Linked DNA regions of Macaca fascicularis. The protein of the gene in region 1 interacts with the protein of each later gene in a biochemical or structural test. Links are inferred from orthologs where the notes say so. Each region holds a gene or a part of one and is shown on either strand. Other genes may lie near its edges.

Region 1 (5,831 bases):
ACTGGCACCAATACTGTTGCACTAATGGGTCAAAATGAGTTCCAGATAATAATGTTATGTAATTCTGTGATGGTATTAAAAATATATGCCTGAAAAATTAGATAACATCCTTATGTGAATAAAATATTAGTAAACAAAAATAAGGTTGTCAATTCCTAGTAAAAAGTGGGTACCTGCTCACCACTAATGCTTTTGGTTATGCCAAAAGTTTATATGGTCATGCCTGACAATTCAGAATCTTATTTACCAAGGAGATTTATAATGCTGCCAATTATTGATGTCTTAAAAGAAAAATACCTTTAATGCCAAACCAACTTTTTTATTTTCATCTGTATATGGAGGTTTCCAAAGCTGAATCCTGTCTTCCCTTAAAAACTGGGTCAATTTTGCTTGAAGGTATTTCTTTTGTGCCATCCCTGAAAGCAAAACAATATAATAATAAAACTCCACACTGCATTTTAAAGTGTTAGTAACTTACCTACATGTTAAGGTGTTTTGTTGGGTAAGCAAAGCTCCCTTCTTCTCTCATTAAATATAAATTACTATGGTTTAAACAAGCTCCAGACTTCTCTAAAAATATACATGGAAATATATGTTCAATTATATATATTACATACATAAAACATGTATTTCAAAGTCACCAATATGTAGCAAGGATTATTACACGTTTGCTATTTCTTAATCCGCTATTCTCTTATCTAAGAGAAAAGAGAAAATACAAGAAAGATAAATCCCTCGAGTGGTGAACTTTTTTCTTTTTTTTTGAGACAGAGTCTCGCTCTGTTGCCCAGACTCGAGTGCAGTGGTGTGATGTCGGCTCACTGCAACCTCTGTCCCCTGGGTTCAAGCCATTCTCCTGCATCAGCCTCCCTAGTCACTGGGATTACAGGTGTGCACTACCACGCCTACCCAGCTAATTTTCATATTTTTAGTAGAGATGGGATTTCGCCATGTTGGCCAGGCTGGTCTCAAATTCCTGACCTCAAGTGATCCACCACCTTGGTCTCTCAAAATGCTGGGATTACAGGTGTGAGCTTGTAAATTCTCTCATACTTTGGCTAGTTTCACATAAAACAAAAGGCCAATCATCCTGGTAGTTAAATATAAAGAAAAGCTTGCTTGAACTGTAAACTATCAATAATAAATATTTTCAGGTGGGCGTGGTAGCTCAGACCTGTAATCCCAGCACTTTGGGAGGCTGAGTTCAGGAGTTGAGATCAGGAGCTCGAGATCAGCCTGGCCAACATGGTGAAATCCCATCTCTACTAAAACAAACAAACAAACAAACAAAAAATGAACAATTAGCCGGGCGTGGTGGCAGGCACCTGTAAACCCAGCTACTCAGGAGGCTGAGGCAGGAGAATCGCTTGAATCCAGGAGGCAGAGGTTGTAGTGAGCCGAGATGGCACCACTGCACTCCAGCCTGGGCAACAGAGTGAGACTCCGTCTCAAAATAATAATAAATATATAAATATTTTCTATGTCAGAATTTTTTAAATTAAAAAGATTACAATACTAGAAAAATGTTGCATATTTTCTGATTAACAGCCTAACAGCACATCTACTATTCAAATCTAACACTGATTGGATCATTTTACAGCTGAGAAAACCAGGGCCCTGAGTTTGTGCCATGACTCAGGCAAAGACACAAAATCAGGCAGCATCAAATTGAGCGTAACTTCCACCCACAATACTGGACTCTGAACTTCTGTCGTGGAGTCCCTTGCTGCTTGCCTGTTTCAGGTATGTAACTTTTCTCTCCCAGAGAAGTACATGCCACGATGGAGCTGTCTACTTATCCCACACTAGCACAGCACTTCAAAGATGCATGTGAGGCAGCTGAGATGTGAGGCAGCTGGCAGGGGTAGCACAGCGCTTTAAGGTTTACCAAATCACACAAGCAATAAGTAAAGAAAATGTTATTAGTCCCTGAATGATGAAGACAATTCTAGAGAGTGGAAAAAATATGAGTTAATATTATTGAGATAAATTTCTTTTTTTCTATTGAGGGCCAGTATTCCACATCCCCCCAAACCCAATTCACGCAACTTTGAAATCAAGTTTGGTAGCTTGTGTATTTCATAAACAAATATTTGTTTAAAGAAAGTTCAAATCTATTTGATGTCAGTGCAGGGGACAAGAATTATGTTAATCAGGACAGAGAGGAGAAAAGAGAGGAAGGAATAACACAGCCAAGGAAGTTGATGTGTGCAACCTGGGTGGCCCATGGGAGAATCCTCCATTTTCAAGCACTGACAAACAGCTTATCACAGCAAAGCATATTAGTACTTAAAGCGTTAGCTTTTCAAACACCAATAACTTAAAAGACTACTTTACATACTACTCATGAATCTTCAGAAATTCTGAATAAAATATCACAGCAACCCTACTGTTTCCCCACTGGGGGACAGTAATTTCACAGGTTGGTTACTGGAGCCAAGCAATTTGAAAGGCTGATGCGGTACTCAAAGACGCCATCCACGGCCAGGTGCAGTGGCTCACGCCTGTAATCCCAGCACTTGGGAGGCCGAGGCCAGCGGATCACCTGAGGTCAGGAGTTCAAGACCAGCCTGCTCAACATGGTGAAACCCCGTCTCTACTAAAAAAATAAACAAATAAAAATTTTTAAAAAGATGCCATCCAAGCCACCACTTGACAGAAGGACAAAGGAGTATTACAAACCTAGTGCGTGTCAGACACTCCAGGGAGCAAACAACAGGTCCAGGGTCTACACCTAATAGGATTTAATGTTAAAAAAAATTAAACCACTATCTTGAAACTTAGGAAACTTCAGTTACAGACAACAGAGTAAGTGGTGACATATTTTAAGTTTAATAAGTCAGCTTTTAATTTTAACTGAAATGAGAACTGAAAAAGTTTCATGCATGCCATACAATGTTTCACATTGTAACCAAGAAAAGACGAAACTCATTAAAACCACTCCCTGCTCCAAACAGAAAGTGAAACGTTATAACGATCCTTTAAAAATTTCACTTTCACTTTTGTAATGAATCAATCAATGCTACCTTTAGCCACAGTTTTTCAACTATACATTATATACAGTTGAAGCACAACTATATCTAGTCAAGACACATTCATTTTTTCTTACGAAAATATGTAGGAAAATGAAAGATTCTTGATTAAAAATAAAAGGGAAGGAGGTGAGAGTAATAGAATCAGGTCGTCAAGGTTCGAGAAAATCAAGTGTCTCGTCATTAAATAGCAAAGAAAATCTGGCTTTGATTGCAAATAAATCCCAAATGGTATACTCGGAGTAAGTGTTACGATTCAAGTATAGCATTTGGCTAATTTTTTATAGATATATTTATTCCTTTCTCTCCCCAAATCAATACACTCAACATTTTCTTTTAAATACCCCACACCTGTGCCTAACTCAGCGCAAACCAAAGGGCCCCGAAGGGCCAGCGCGTCCCGAAGCCCGACCCGCCGCTCCCGGCCCCGGCCCAGCTTCACGCATGGCCGCTGACCCCAGCCCCGCGGCCGCTCCACCCCCGTCAGGAGAGGTGCCCAGTCGGACCGGGAACCGGGGCGCCGAGCAGCGCTGCTGAGACTGGGGTCGGGGACACTCGGCCGCCGGGTCCTCACCTGCGCCACGCCGCGCCCGCTGCGACCAACAGAGTGCCCGGATGCGCCGGCGGCCGCCGTTTGTTTTCATTCCGGGTGAGGCCAGCCCCGCCCCCGCCACCGCTGCTGCCGCCGCCGCCGCCGCCGCCGCCGCCGTAGCCGCCGCTTGGAAGGAGGGTTGTGGGCGGGGCCAAGGCGAAGCCAGTCGTGGGCGGGGATACGGTCGTGTGGGCGTGGTTACCGCGGGGCGGAGCCGCGACGGGGGAGCTAAATGGAGGCGGGGCTGGGCGAGAATGTGGCCGTGTGGGGCGAGGACCTGGGAGTTGGTGTCCGACGCCGCCCCAGGCTCAGGCTTCCAGGACCTCCCGCCCGGGCCCAGTTTGCCAGCCATCAAGAGGAAATGGATCCTGGCTTTGTTTCTCCAAAATCCTTGAAAGAGGCTGGGGGAAGGGTCGGGACCGTCCCAACCCACATCTCATCCCTCAGCCTAGGCTGGACCCCCTCCCTAAACCAGCGGCTTTTCACCCCGCCCTCCACAATCCCACGAGGGGCTTCCCTGGGGTGAAATTAGGCTGCTTCCCGGGAATTTCCTCCCCCATGCTGTCCACGGCCACTAGGGACTACAAAACCTAGGGAGCTCTGCCTGCTTTCAAGGCCCCATTCCCAAGGCTGTGCTCAACAGTGACGCTTCTATTTTATTATCAGTTATTGCTGTTAATCTCTTACTGTGCCTAACAAATTAAACTTTATCGCAGGTATGTATGCATGTATAGGAAAAATGCAGTGTGTGTGTGTATATATATATTTGTGTGTGTGTATATGTATATGTGTGTATATATATAGTGTGTGTGTGTATATATCTATACATGGGTGCAGTACTATCCGAGGTTTCAGGCATCTACTGTGGGTCTTGGGACATACCACCTGTGTGTGGGTAAGAGGGGACTGCTGTAACCTTGCAGTGACCAATCCGCTTTTCGTTCCCTGTTTCTGCTTTCTTTAGGCCTTTTCTACCTATAAAACCCACCTCCTCTGCCCAGCTCATTGGAGTACCGTTTCTAAATTTTTAGAGAAGATGCCATCCTGATTCGTGAATCAATAAAAGCCAATAGATCTTTAATCTAAATCTGTGGAAATTTTGACTTCTGACAAAGAGGTATTAAATAACTGTATAACCGCATCAGACCAATCTGATTCACCTTTTATATACCCAAGTTGTGAGTTGTTTTTCAGTTGCATGGACTCCCAGAAGGAAGGTTTCACACGTAAGCTGAGGATGCCCAGATGAGCCGAGCATGCAACCGGGGCGGAACCTGAGTGCTCAAATCAAAGCAGGGACTGAATTAAGAGATGGGCACTGCATGGTGAGATCCAGAATGCAATCAGATCAAGCCCTGGCATCACCCCATGGCAGGGTCCAGTCAGATGAGCATCCCAGCATCACCTCATCGCAAAATCTAATCAGATCATGTGTCATTACCGTATGCTTATAAAACCCAGCTCAAGGAGACAGAGTTGAGGGTTTCCTCATGTCTCCTTGACAGTCAACTCACGACAAAGCCTTTCTTTTCTCAAAAACCAGTGCCATGGTGTTGGCTTCTGGCACATCAGGAAGCAAGCCCGTTGATTGCTCAGTAGCAATTGCAGCAAGGTAGAAGGACAACAGAATCTGTTCTGACATTTTTTTCTGAGGGCTTTCTCTGAAATGAGTAACAAAGATAGTTTCACTTTTACAGTTACATAGTAGACCATCAGGAAATTGAATGTCCACGGTCAGGTGTGGTAGAGAAGCTTGCGGTAGACCAAGACTCCAGCTAACAACTAGAAAAGCCAGAAAGCAAAGTCAGAAAACATCTGTTTGAAGGCAGTGGAAGCTGCTGAGGTAAGAATGGGCGGACTTGATATTCCAGAGAATGAGGAACCTTCAAGTGAGCTAATGTCCACAGTGGCTTGTATTGATGTGTGACGGATTTTGCCAATTCTGGATACAAGGATGAGGCTGAGAATTTAGACTTTGAGACCACAGAAGGCCACTGCTGGGGACAGAAAAACAACACAGCTTTTGCAGAGACATAGGGGGAAATTCCAAGGACAATTGCTACATTCAAGGCTTGTATGGGGCAAGAAACTGAAATATAAATGGAAGGCCTCTGAAAGCAGAAGTTTTTGATAGACTGCAAAACAAAGATTCGAGTCTGAGATCTGCTAGGGTGGTGGTGGAAGTGGGTTGCTGCAGAGCCTACACC
Region 2 (6,108 bases), on another chromosome or scaffold:
CCTTTCCTTGCCCACCAACATCCCCATAAATAATAACTATTTTAGTTGGGTGTGGGACATAGAGAGTGGGAGGGGGCATGGTGCCAGACTTCATTTCATACCAAATAGCCTTAAAGGAGAAGAGGGGGAAAGGAGCTCAATTTAGTTTCTAAAATGTTTAGTAATTTGATTATGATCATGTCAGAGCAACTAATTCATTTTAAAATAAATCATTTCACTATGCTCTGTAAGTAGAAATTCATTTTGATTCAACCATTATTGAGTGATATAAATAAAGCACTGGGCTTAACAAACACAGAAATTCAGAAATCAGTAGAACATGGATCCCAACCTAAAACTCTCTTGTCAAAAAGGAAAGGAGATAGGAGTTTTTCCATAAATAACAAGGTATCAAGAAAGAATTAAATTGCAAGCTGGCTTTGAATGCTCTATTTTGCCTTAAAATTTTATTTACTAGTCTCAGTAATACATTATTAAAAATCCTGCCACTTAATTAATTGTGTTAGAATCAAAGAAACAGAGTTGGACAATATTCTTCATCCTACCCATCCCACCCAAATCTTACTCTACTCATCTCATTCTCACGTTGATTAAGAGATTAAAAGAAATAAGCTTTTTGGCCCTTGCCAACACCCCATCCCCAGGGTGGTCACCCTGCAATACAATAAGATGTCAGGAAGAGTAAGTTGCCCTTTCTGATTCCATAATCTGCCATCATCTTCCCATCTTCCAGTCTCTTTCCATTGCAATTCACAATCTGGGTCTCAGGGGTTACACCCGTCTTGGTCTCGATCATTGCTTTCACTTGTGCCACTGAGCTGGACCTTCGCACCTGGAGGAGGTGCCTCTGCCCCTCATCACCTGACTCCACAAGATACAAGGGCAGCTCCTCATCACTGGGCTTCACCACTTTCAGGGTAAGGTGGATGGTCTTCTCCTTGTCAATGCCATAAGATGAGAGCCTTCTCCGTGGCTTTAGGATCTTGGAGCCCAGCAAAAGAACCTGGTCCTGCACAGGAACCTTGGTCTTAGACCGGACGTGTTCACTGATTTTTTTCACGCTGTCCTCTGGGTTGGCATCAAAGGTCATTAAATCCCATTCCTCAGAAAGAACATGCACCTGGGAAGTGAAAGCCACAAGACAGTTGCCTAGGATGCCTGCCTCACTTTACATTTCTGCTCCCCACCACAATGGCTCCCACCCTTCCGCTATCTATCTGGTCTCCTAGCTCCTGTTCAGTAGCCAGTGTCCCTCTCTTTCTTGGAACTTCTCCTTTGGAATTACCAAGTTGCAACACAAATAAGAAAATTTGTCCCATTCCTTTATAATCACACCTTTTTTTCAATCTTGAGAATGAAAAATAAAATCCTGAGCCCCCAACCAATTGAACGGACCCTCTCTTGCTCAGGGGGACCCTAGAGAAATTTTAAGAACTTAGTCATTGGGCCAAGGGCAGTGGCTTATACCTGTAATCCAAGAACTTTGGGAAGCTGAGGCAAGCTGATCACTTGAGGCTGGGAGTTCGAGACCAGCCTGGCCAACTTGGTGAAACCTCATCTCTACTAAAAATACAAAAATTAACCAGGCGTGGTGGTGAGTCCCTGTAATCCCAGCTACTCAGGAGGCTGAGGCATGAGAATCATTTGAACCCAGACGGCAGAGGTTGCAGTAAGTGGAGATGGCACCACTGCACTCCAGCTGGGGCAACAGAGTGAGACTCTGTCTCAAAAAGATAAATAAATAAAATACCTCAGTCATGATGAAACAGGAGGCTGGACATGCCTCATTATATCTTCTCCCTTTTGCAGTTTAGACACAACTGACTAGCAACGTTAGAGATTATAAGACTGAAAGAATGGATTATTGGTGGCAATAAGATTTTTGTAGCAAATTTTAAACAAGACCTAAGGCTATAATAGGCAAGAGTTAAGTCATGCATCCCTACACTTAAAGAATAAACTATGTTCTAACTGCCACAAAATATTTTTCTTTTTTCTGTAGCAGCTAAACAAGCACTGGCCTCGAGAGGAACAATATTAAAACAATTACAGTTCATCCACAGGCTAACTGACCCCCTGTTCCTCAAGCCATAACTACAGTTTTAATTGGACAAATGACTGATTTCAGTAATTTTCTCCTGATAAGAGACCACTGACCATGGACTGGTTCTGGCTAGTCTACAGAAGCTGCACATTTGAATGCCTTTGTGTCCCTGCTTCACCTTTTCATGTATAAGGCCTAACTGTAATGCAATTAAATGTTAAGTCTCCACCTCAGAGTGACCATGGGTGGTATATAACATGCAAGCTCATTCAACATGCATGCATTAGGACTCCCTTCATGAATATTCATTGCCTCTGCCATAACCTATTGGATATGTATACTTAGCAAACCCCTTCAGCATAAATTCCTGTGTCACTTTCCTCCTACAAAGCTTGCTTTTGGTTTTCAACCAGAAGCCGAGCTTCTCAGCTTGTCAGAATGGCTACCTTGCAGACTATAACCCTTCATAAGAAATGAAGTCTCCTTTCTAAATTTATAAATTGTGTGATTTTTTTTAGTTGACAATTTTTTATTTCGCTTTTCTGTGCATTTCAATAGATGTAAAAAACATACCTTTATTCATCTCGAGATGTAATTAAAGGTTTTCCACCTTATTTACCTGCCTCTCCTATCCAGATAAAGTTTGTCAAATGTCAAAAAAGTAAATACAGAGCTTCAAAAGATGTACACCAGACTCTAAAAACAACTGTCAAAGAGAATTTCTAAAATATGACAGCCTCATAAGATACAGCAATAGGATACCCTCTGTCAATACTTCAGAAGGAAATCCTGGGTAGGGCACATAATCACTGAACTGTTATTTTTTTTTCAAATCTCCCACTGCTTTACAATAATAACTTACATATTACAGTGACACTATGTTCAGTGTTTCTTGTTAATTTATATTTCTTGTATTTTTATATCTATCTAATATAGAATACGATCTCCTTTGATTAGACCAGGGCCTCACTCACAGAAGGTAGGGACTATGTCTAAGTCTTACTTCAATAGCTGGAAAACCCTAAAAGACTGGAAAACTCACTCCTAATGGCCACTTGAAAGCCTGAGAAGACCTCCCTCATACTCCATTCAGAAATATTTTCCCAATCTAGATATTGCAGACATTTCTTCACTGGAGGATCTGTGTTAAGCATTGCCTTAATTCCAGGTTCTCTCCATAGTGCATACTTTCTTATATAATGTAATGTGTTAGATCATTAACAACTTCAGATAAATGAGTTTTGTGAAGCTCTCCTTTGAGAGGAAAGAGAAGATTAAGTTTAAGAACCCTAAAAAATGTTTCCATAATTTCAAATCTCACCAGCCCTGTGGAACACAAAGCTCACCCCCACTTTTTTTTTCTACCATTTATCCCTAAGAGTAGCTAGTCCAATGTTTGATTAAAAAAAGAACACAGAAGCCAGATAACCAGCTTCTCTTCAGACAATTCCTCTTCCCATTCTGCAAATGTCGATGCCAGCCTCTTCCCCTTAAGGATGCCTGCCCAGCCACCCAGAGCCCTGAGTACTGTCCATCCCCCGTTTCTAAGATCTCTCCCCAACTCTTGAAAGTGCTTTTCCTTTCCCCATCCCCTTTATCAAATCCCAACTTACAGAGAGGCAGGAAGCATTGGGAGCCATCTTTGCAGTCAAGGGGCCAGAAACCAGAGACAGAAAAAGGATTTTAACTCCAGCTTATATACCAGCGTTGAATTGGAAATCCCCTCCTGGATTGCTGTGTTTGTCCAGCTTTGCTGTGCCCTTTGTTCTTGCATGCTCCCATGAATTTTCTTTCACTTTTGCTGGGCAGGAGTTAATAAACAAAGAATGCTTTCTGATTACGTACTTCTCCCCTCAGGCAATCTATTTGCAATCCTCATTCCAAACGGGATGGTCTTTCTGTGTTGAAAACTTTTCCCTGATTAAAAATCCACCTCTCCTCTCCCAGTCCTGACTTATTACTGTCCGTCCTGTGGCCTGGGCCCTCACTGGCATGAAGACCTGTAATGCTTGCTGAACCTCTCATGCTGCCTTTAAGAGCACCCCATTACTCAGGGGCCGTCCTAAGAACGAGAGCACCCAGGCAGGATACGGCAGTCAGCATTGTGTGGAGTGCTGTGACTGTGAGCCTGACATGGCTAGTCTGGCAGAAGGTGTAAAACATGCCTTAAGAAGACATAGGAGAAATAACCTCAGACTGAGAGGAGATACGAGTTAGAGTCCCAGGAGGGCCACTTGCTACATTACCTTGGGCAAATCCATTCATCTCCTTAGATGTTGGTTTCCCAGTCTATAAAATGAGATGACTGGAAAAGATTCCTAAGTGTCTTCCAGGCTCAGAAAACTTTGCTTGTAAAATTCCCTTTGCAAAATAACATTGGATTTCTGGGTCTTGAGCTCTCCAACATACGTCCTACCCTGTCCCAGAACCTGCAAACCAAATCCACTACTTGAGAACAATCCTAAGCCAACAATTAAATGCTGACTCCTCACTTCAACACACAAAGCAATCAACATCCACTCTCACACTGCGGGGCCTCTATTTCTCTACCTTTACTCCTGGATGCACCTCACCACTGTGATCTCAGACAAACCTAAAGGTGCCGCTCTCTCCCTCGCCCTTGAGACTTAGATGGAGACAAGAAAGGTGTGCCTGTCCCCGGGAAGTTTACTCCATCACTCTGATCCTCCTCGTATCCCAAATTAACTACTGCCCCCTCCCAAACTCTCAGGGCATTGCTATGGAACCAGTTTTTAAAAGCTTTTTTTTTTTTTGAAATGGAGTCTCACTTTGTTGCCCAGGCTGGAGTGCAATGGTGCGATCTCAGCTCACTGCAAGCTCCGCCTCCAGACTTCAAGTGATTCTCCTGCCTCAGCTTCCCGAGTAGCTGGGATAATAGGCACCTGCTAATTTTTGTATTTTTAGTAGAGACATGGTTTCACCATGCTGTCCAAGCTGGTCTCGAACTCCTGATCTCAGGCAACCTGCCCGCCTTGGCCTCCCAAAGTGCTGGGATTACAGATGTGAGACACCGTGTCCAGCCTAAAAGTATGTTTTCAAGTGCTTCAAATCTTTTCAAAGTAGGAAGCTCTTTAAAATGCCAAGTTATCATCTCTGTTTGCAGAGGCATTTACTGTACCTTCACTCACTGACAGATCGCAAATGACCCCATCTTATTCTAGGAGGTTCTGTCCTGGAGAATCGAATTTACAGAAGTACTGGATTGATGTAGAGTAATGAAATGCAACAGCTCATTTCTCTACTTCAAAAGCTTACTATAAATCATGTTCTTCTATATGAAGCTTTTATTAGATAGCTAATAAAATTGAAAACATTAATTATTATTTAAATGTATTTTGTGGAGTAGACATAATTTTTAATACACAGGCAGGATAATTAAAAAGCAGAAGAGTGCCTAATGGAATACATTAGGAACCACTGGCCTCTGCTATTCTCCTTTCAGATCTTTCTCCAGGTCCCTGTGACCCCCTTTGTGTCTAGAAACTAATGTTCTGACCTTTGGCTGCTACACAGCAGATAAGGGCTGCCCCTCATCCGTTGTCCAGTGGGATTTGGAGATTCTGAAACATTACCAGTGGCCAATGTCAGATCAGGTTCAGGGTGATCAGGAAACAGAAAGCCCTGCGGGATGGCAGGGGTGGGGGAAGTACCTGGAAAAAGAGAAAGGAAAAGCTGTACAAACCCAGACTTCAGTAAACTGCTCTCGCTTTTCAAACTTTGTTTGCACTCACCACTTTCTTAGATCTTCATGTTATTTCCAGGGAGACAAGAGGAAGAGAAGATGGTTAAAAGCTGCTTAAAATTAGGTCACTCTCTTCTCATACCCTTTCCCACTTTCCTTCTACCTCAGTACCTACACTATCTTGGTCCCAATGTCTGCACCAAGTATCAGGAGCAACAAGGAACCTTGGCCAGAGGCTGGCTCCAGGAGGAGAAGCCAGGATGACATTTCTCAGGAAAGATCTTTGTCTGTTGAAGCCACCCAGATCTATACCCACAGTCCCAACCTAAGCGCAGATCTATATGTCTAGCTGTGTCTGTGT
Region 3 (5,870 bases), on another chromosome or scaffold:
GTTTTATTTAACACCCTGTCTCAAAAAACAAAACAATTTGTTTCTTCCAAAGGATTAAATCCCAAACTTCATATACTTTTTTTGTCTATGAATATAACATATAACCCTTAATAAAGATTCCTTTTATAATGGTGACAACTTTAACACTATTATCATGCCTAAAAAAATTATTTAATATCAAATATCCAGCTGATGTGATGGCTCACACCTGTAATCCCAACACTTTGAGACTTTTTTTTTTTCAGAGATGGGGTCTCACTATATTGCCTATGCTGGTCTCGAACTCCTGCACTCAATTCATCCTCTCACATCAAAAAATTAAAAACAAATGAGCCGGGCTTGGTGGCATGCACCTATAGCCCCAGCTACTCAGGAGGCTGAGGCAGGAGGATTGCTTGAACCCTGGAGGTGGAGATTGCAGTGAGCCGAGATCAGGCCACTGCACTCCAGTCTGGGCGAAAGGGCAACACCCTGTCTCAAACAATAAAATTTTGTAGAGACGGAGTCTGGCTGTGTTATCCAGGCTGTTCTCAAACTCCTAGCCTGAGTTGATCCTCCTGCCTGGGCCTCCCAAAACGCTGGGATTATAAAACCTAAGCCATTGCATCAGGCCTTAAATGTAATTTTTGATTAACAAACCAAAATGGTTTAGTGGTTTGTTCTTTGGGAGATTAGTTAATATAATTGAGTTGTCAAATCTTTTCTGGGCTCTCTACTGGGCTTAGGGAATTGTAAAGATTAAGACACATTGCTGGCCAGGTGTGGTGGCTCACGCCTGTAATCCCAGCACTTTGGGAAGCTGAGGCGGGTGGATCAACTGACGTCAAGAGATCGAAACCAGCCTGGCCAACATGGTGAAACCCTGTCTCTACTAAAAATACAAAATTAGCCGGTCATGGTGTCACGCCCCTGTAGTCCCAGCTACCTGGGAGGCTGAGGCGGGAGAATTGCTGGAACCCAGGAGGCAGAGGTTGCAGTGAGCCTAGATCGAGACACTGCACTCTAGCCTGGGTGACAGAGTGAGACTCCTTCATCTCAAAAAAAAAAAAAAGACACGTTGCCTACCCTTAGTTAAATGGGGGAGGAGATAAATATACAAATAAATTCAATTCAAAGGTATAAGGGCTTGTTGAATTAAAATTCTACAGGGAACTGAAGGCTGTAGAAAGTCATTAGTGATCTCTACTTTTTTTTTTTTTTTTTGAGACGGAGTCTCACTCTGTCCCCCAGGTTGGAATGCAGTGGCGTGATCTGTGCTCACTGCAATCTCTGCCTCCCGGGTTCAAGCGATTCTCCTTCCTCAGCCTCCAGAGTAGCTGGGATTACAGGCGCCCGCCACTATGCCTGGCTAGTTTTTTTTTTTTTTTTTTTTTTTTAAGATGGGGTCTCACTCTGTTGCCCACGCTTGAGTGCAGTGGTGCAATCTCGGCTCATTGCAATCTCCGTCTCCCGGGTTCAAGTAATTCTCCTGCCTCAGCCTCCCGAGTAGCTGGGATTACAGGCGTGCGCCACCATGCCCGGCTAATTTTTTGTATTTTTAGTAGATACAGGGTTTCACCATGCTGGTCAGGCTGGTCTCGAACTCCTGACTTCGTGATCCGCCGGCCTTGGCCTCCCAAAGTGCTAGAATAACAGGCGTGAGCCACCGCGCTCGGCCGATCCCGACACTTTTTTTTAAAATGACGAAGCTGGAACCGACACAGCACTTTCAAAGGTTCCTCCATAGCTCCTCTGAGATCCGGCCAGCGGGAAACCCCAACTGGGAACTGCAATGGCAGGGAAAGTAGAGGCTAGATCCTGTTGTGTTACCGCGATTCCCTTCAACTACCCACAAGAAGCCCATTTGTTTGGCGGCGCCTACAACTCCCAGAACGCAACACGGGGGACGGAGGCGGAAGCTGCTGGCCAAGCCGAGGTCTGTGATTGGTGAAGAGCGATGGGCCAATTGGAGGAGTTGTTGTTAGGCCGTCCTGGAGAACCGGTCGGGAGGGAGGAAGGCGGCAAGATGGTGTTGGAAAGCACTATGGTGTGGTGAGGAGCTACCTCGGGGCAGGAGGGGCACAGCTGGGTCCCGGGCGCGTGTGGCGCCAAGGCAGGGCGGGCCTGGGGTGGGGGCCGGGAGCTCATGGGCGAGAGGCGGCCCTGGGCCCGGAGGTTAGGAGCCCGCTGGAGTCCCTGAGTCATCCCGGGGCCGTGGAGTGGCAGACAGTCCCTGGTTACCCCTCTCACCCCCAGGGGGACGGTCATTGACCGGTCATTCCTGCTGCCTTTCTCTGTTCTAGCGCCGTCTTCTCTAGAGCAGCCCGGGTCTGTCCTTAGCCACAGTTCTGCTTCTCGGACTCATCGTAATAGTTTTCTGCCCTCCTTTCTTCGCAAAATAATGTCTATTAGAAAAATAGATTATTAATCCCTTCCTCTCCCCATTCCCTCGTCTCTAACTTCATTACCTTTCCCTGTGTCATCTTCAAAGGTACCATTTACAGATTGCTTTTTATGTCTCAGTCATTTTGTTTATCTCACTTAAACCTCACAACCACACCTTAAGGTAGATTATCTCTCCGTTTTACGGTTCAGGATACCGAGTCTCAGCGATTTTGAGTGATTTGTCCAAAATCACACAGCTAGTTAAGTGGTGGAGTCAAGATTTAAACCCAGGGCTGTCTGACACAAAGGCTTTATCCGGTGAGGTAGCTGTCTTCGCCAGTCTCAGGCTTGGGCTGAGTACCTATTAGGAGTCACATTAGATGGGGAGGACATAAATTTTTGCAGGATTGCAAGAGTTCCTTCTACCTGTAATCATTGAATGTAATACAGAATAGTTGACGAACACAAATCACCAATTGGGTGAGACAGACACCTATGAGATTTCGTCTTTTTAGTTTTTTGGGGGAGCATAGCGTTGCCAGGTAACATACAGGATGCCCAGTGAAATTTGAATTTCAGATAAACGATGAATAATTTTTTTTTGAGAGGGTCTCGCTCTGTCGCCCGAACTGGAGTGCAGTGGCCCAATCCGGCTCACTGCAGCCTCCGCCTCTTGGGTTCAAGTGATTCTCAATGATTGAACTAATTTACACTTGCACCAACGGTATACCAGTGTTCTCTTTTCTCGCAACCTTGCCAGCTTCTTTTTTGACTTTTTAGGATAGCCATTCTGACTGGTGTTAGGTGGTATCTCATTGTGGTTTTGATTTATTTGCATTTCTCTAATGATCAGTGATACTGAGGTCTTTTTCATATGCTTGTTGGCCGTATAGTATGTCTTCTTTTGAAAAGTGGCCAGGCGCGGTGGCTCAGTTCTGTAATCCCAGCACTTTGGAAGGCCGAAGTGGGTGTATCACCTGAGGTCAGGAGTTCCTGACTAGCCTGGCCAACATGGTGAAACACTGTTTCTACTAAAAATACAAAATTTAGCCAGGCGCGGTGGTGGGCGCCTGCAGTCCCAGCTACTTCGGAGGCTGAGGTGGGAGAATCGTTTGAACCCCAGAGGTGGAGGTTGCAGTGAGCCGAGATGGTGCCACTGCACTCCAGCCTGGGCGACTGAGTGAGACTCCCTCTCAAATAAATACATAAATAAATAAAAATAAAGTATCTGATATCTGTTCATGTCCTTTGCCCACTTTTTTTTTTCTTTTTGAGATGGAGTTTTGCCCTTCTTGCCCAGATTGAGTGCAGTGGTGCCATCTCAGCTCACTGCAACCTCCGCCTCCTGGGTTCAAGTGATTCTCCTGCCTCAGCCTCCTGAGTAACTGGAATTACAGGTGTCCACCACCATGCCCAGCTAATTTTTTGTATTTTTAGTAGAGACGGGATTTCATCATGTTGGCCAGGCTGGTTTCAAACTCTTGAGCTCAGATGATCCACCCGACTCAGCCTCCCAAACTTCAGGGAATACAGGTGTTGAGCCACCACGCCTGGCTCCTTTGCCCACTTTTTTTTGTTGTTGTTGTTCTTACTGCCCAGGCTGGAGTACAATGGCACAATCTTGGCTCACTGCAACCTTCAGCTCACCGCAACCTCCACCTCCCGGGTTCAAGCGATTCTCCTGCCTTAGCCTCCCGAGTAGCTGGGATTACAGGCATGTGCCACCATACCTAGCTAATTTTGTGTTTTTAGTAGAGACAGGGTTTCTCCATGTTGGTCAGGCTGGTCTCAAACTCCTGACCTCAGGTGATCCACCCGCCTCAGCCTCCCAAAGTGCTAGGATTACAGGTGTGAGCTACTGTGCCCAGCCCATCTTCCAGGATTTTTATAGTTTTGAGTTTTACAGTAAGTCTTTAATCCGTCTTCAGTTAATTTTTGTGTATGGTTTAAGAAAGGGGTCCATCTTCAATCTTCTGCATATGGCTAGCCAGTTATGCCAGCACCAGTTATTGAATAGGGACTCTTTCTCCTCACTGCTTTTGTCAGTTTTGTCCAAGAGCAGATGGTCATAGGTGTGCAGCCTTATTTCTAGACTCTCTATTCTGTCCCATTGGTTTCTGTGCCTGTTTTTGTACCAATACCGTGTGGTTTTGGTTATTGTAGTCCTGTAGTAGTAGTTTGAAGTTGGGTAAAGTTGCCTCCAGCTTTGTTCTTTTAGCTTAGGATTGCCTTGACTTTTCCGGCTCTTTGTTGGTTCCATATGAATTTTCAAATAGTTTTTTCCTAGTTCTTTGAAGAATGTCCTTGGTAGTTTGATAGGAGTAGCAGTGAATCTGTAAATTGCTTTGGGCAGTATGGCTTGTCTGTTTGTTTGTTTGTTTGTTTATTTATTTATAAGACAGAGTCTTGCTCTGTCGCCCAGGCTGGAGTGCAGTGGTGTGATCTCAGCTCACTGCAACCTCCGCCTCCCAGGTTCAACTGATTATTGTGCCTCAGCCTTCCAAGTAGCTAGGATTCCAGGCACCTGCCATTATACCTGGCTTATTTTTTGTATTTTTAGCAAAGATGGGGTTTGGCCATGTTGGCCGGGCTGGTCTTGAGCTCCTGGCCTCAAGTGATCTGCCCACCTCGGCCTCCCAAAGTGCTTGAATTACAGGTGTGAGCCACCATGCCTGGCAGTATGGCCATTTTAATGATACTGATTCTTCCTATTCATGAGCGTGGGATGTTTTTCCACTTGTTTGTATCTTCTTTATTTGAGCAGTATTTTGTAATTCTCATTGTAGAGATCTTTCATCTCCCTGGTTAGTTGTATTCCTAGGTTTGTTTTTTTTGTTTGTTTGTTTTGTTTGTTTTTCTGAGATGGAGTCTCGCTCTTGTTGCCCAGGCTGGAGTGCAATGGTGCCATCTCGGCTCACTGCAACCTCCGCCTCCCGGGTTCAAGGGATTCTCCTGTCCCAGCCTCCCGAGTAGCTGGGATTACAAGCGCCTGCCACCATGACCAGGTAATTTTTTTTCTGTATTTTTAGTAGAGATGCGGTTTCATCATATTGGTCAGGCTGATCTCAAACACCTGACCTCAGGTGATCCGCCCACCTCAGCGTCTCAGAGTGCTAACATTACAGGCGTGAGCCACCGTGTCCAGCCAAGGTATTTTATTATTTTTGTGGCAGTATGCACGTAGTTCTTTTTTTTTTTTTTGAGACCCAGTCTCGCTCTTGTTGCCCAGGCTGCAGTGCAATAGCGTGATCTCAACTCACTGCAACCTTGGCCTCCCGGGTTCAAGCAATTCTCCTGCCTCAGCCTCCTGAGTAGCTGGGACTACAAGTGTGTACCACCACGCCTCGCTAATTATTGTATTTTTAGTAGAGACGGGGTTTCACGATGTTAGCCAACACTCTCGAACTTCTGACTTCAAGTGATACACCTGCCTCCACCTCCCAAAGTGCTGGGATTGCAGGCATAAGCCACCATGCCCAGCCTATGTTATAGATTTTTTTTTTTTC

What was found.
Region 2: the proteins of NUB1 (region 1) and UBD form a complex in vitro, tested with the Homo sapiens proteins (6 studies listed by BioGRID, with this or other methods). The link is inferred for Macaca fascicularis from reciprocal best matches to the Homo sapiens genes NUB1 and UBD.
Region 3: the proteins of NUB1 (region 1) and PSMD4 form a complex in vitro, tested with the Homo sapiens proteins (2 studies listed by BioGRID). The link is inferred for Macaca fascicularis from reciprocal best matches to the Homo sapiens genes NUB1 and PSMD4.

The regions. Positions count from the first base shown.
Region 1 is NC_088377.1:192,622,056-192,627,886, reverse strand, and holds the start of NUB1 (NEDD8 ultimate buster 1), read right to left. Parts: upstream 3,642-5,831; 5' UTR 3,384-3,641; intron 2,735-3,383; 5' UTR 2,683-2,734; intron 417-2,682; 5' UTR 415-416; coding exon 298-414; intron 1-297. UniProt on the Homo sapiens protein: Specific down-regulator of the NEDD8 conjugation system. Recruits NEDD8, UBD, and their conjugates to the proteasome for degradation. Isoform 1 promotes the degradation of NEDD8 more efficiently than isoform 2.
Region 2 is NC_088378.1:143,644,598-143,650,705, reverse strand, and holds UBD (ubiquitin D), read right to left. Parts: upstream 3,716-6,108; 5' UTR 3,685-3,715; coding exon 3,658-3,684; intron 1,121-3,657; coding exon 650-1,120; 3' UTR 419-649; downstream 1-418. UniProt on the Homo sapiens protein: Ubiquitin-like protein modifier which can be covalently attached to target proteins and subsequently leads to their degradation by the 26S proteasome, in a NUB1-dependent manner.
Region 3 is NC_088375.1:109,958,604-109,964,473, reverse strand, and holds the start of PSMD4 (26S proteasome non-ATPase regulatory subunit 4), read left to right. Parts: upstream 1-1,967; 5' UTR 1,968-2,005; coding exon 2,006-2,031; intron 2,032-5,870. UniProt on the Homo sapiens protein: Component of the 26S proteasome, a multiprotein complex involved in the ATP-dependent degradation of ubiquitinated proteins.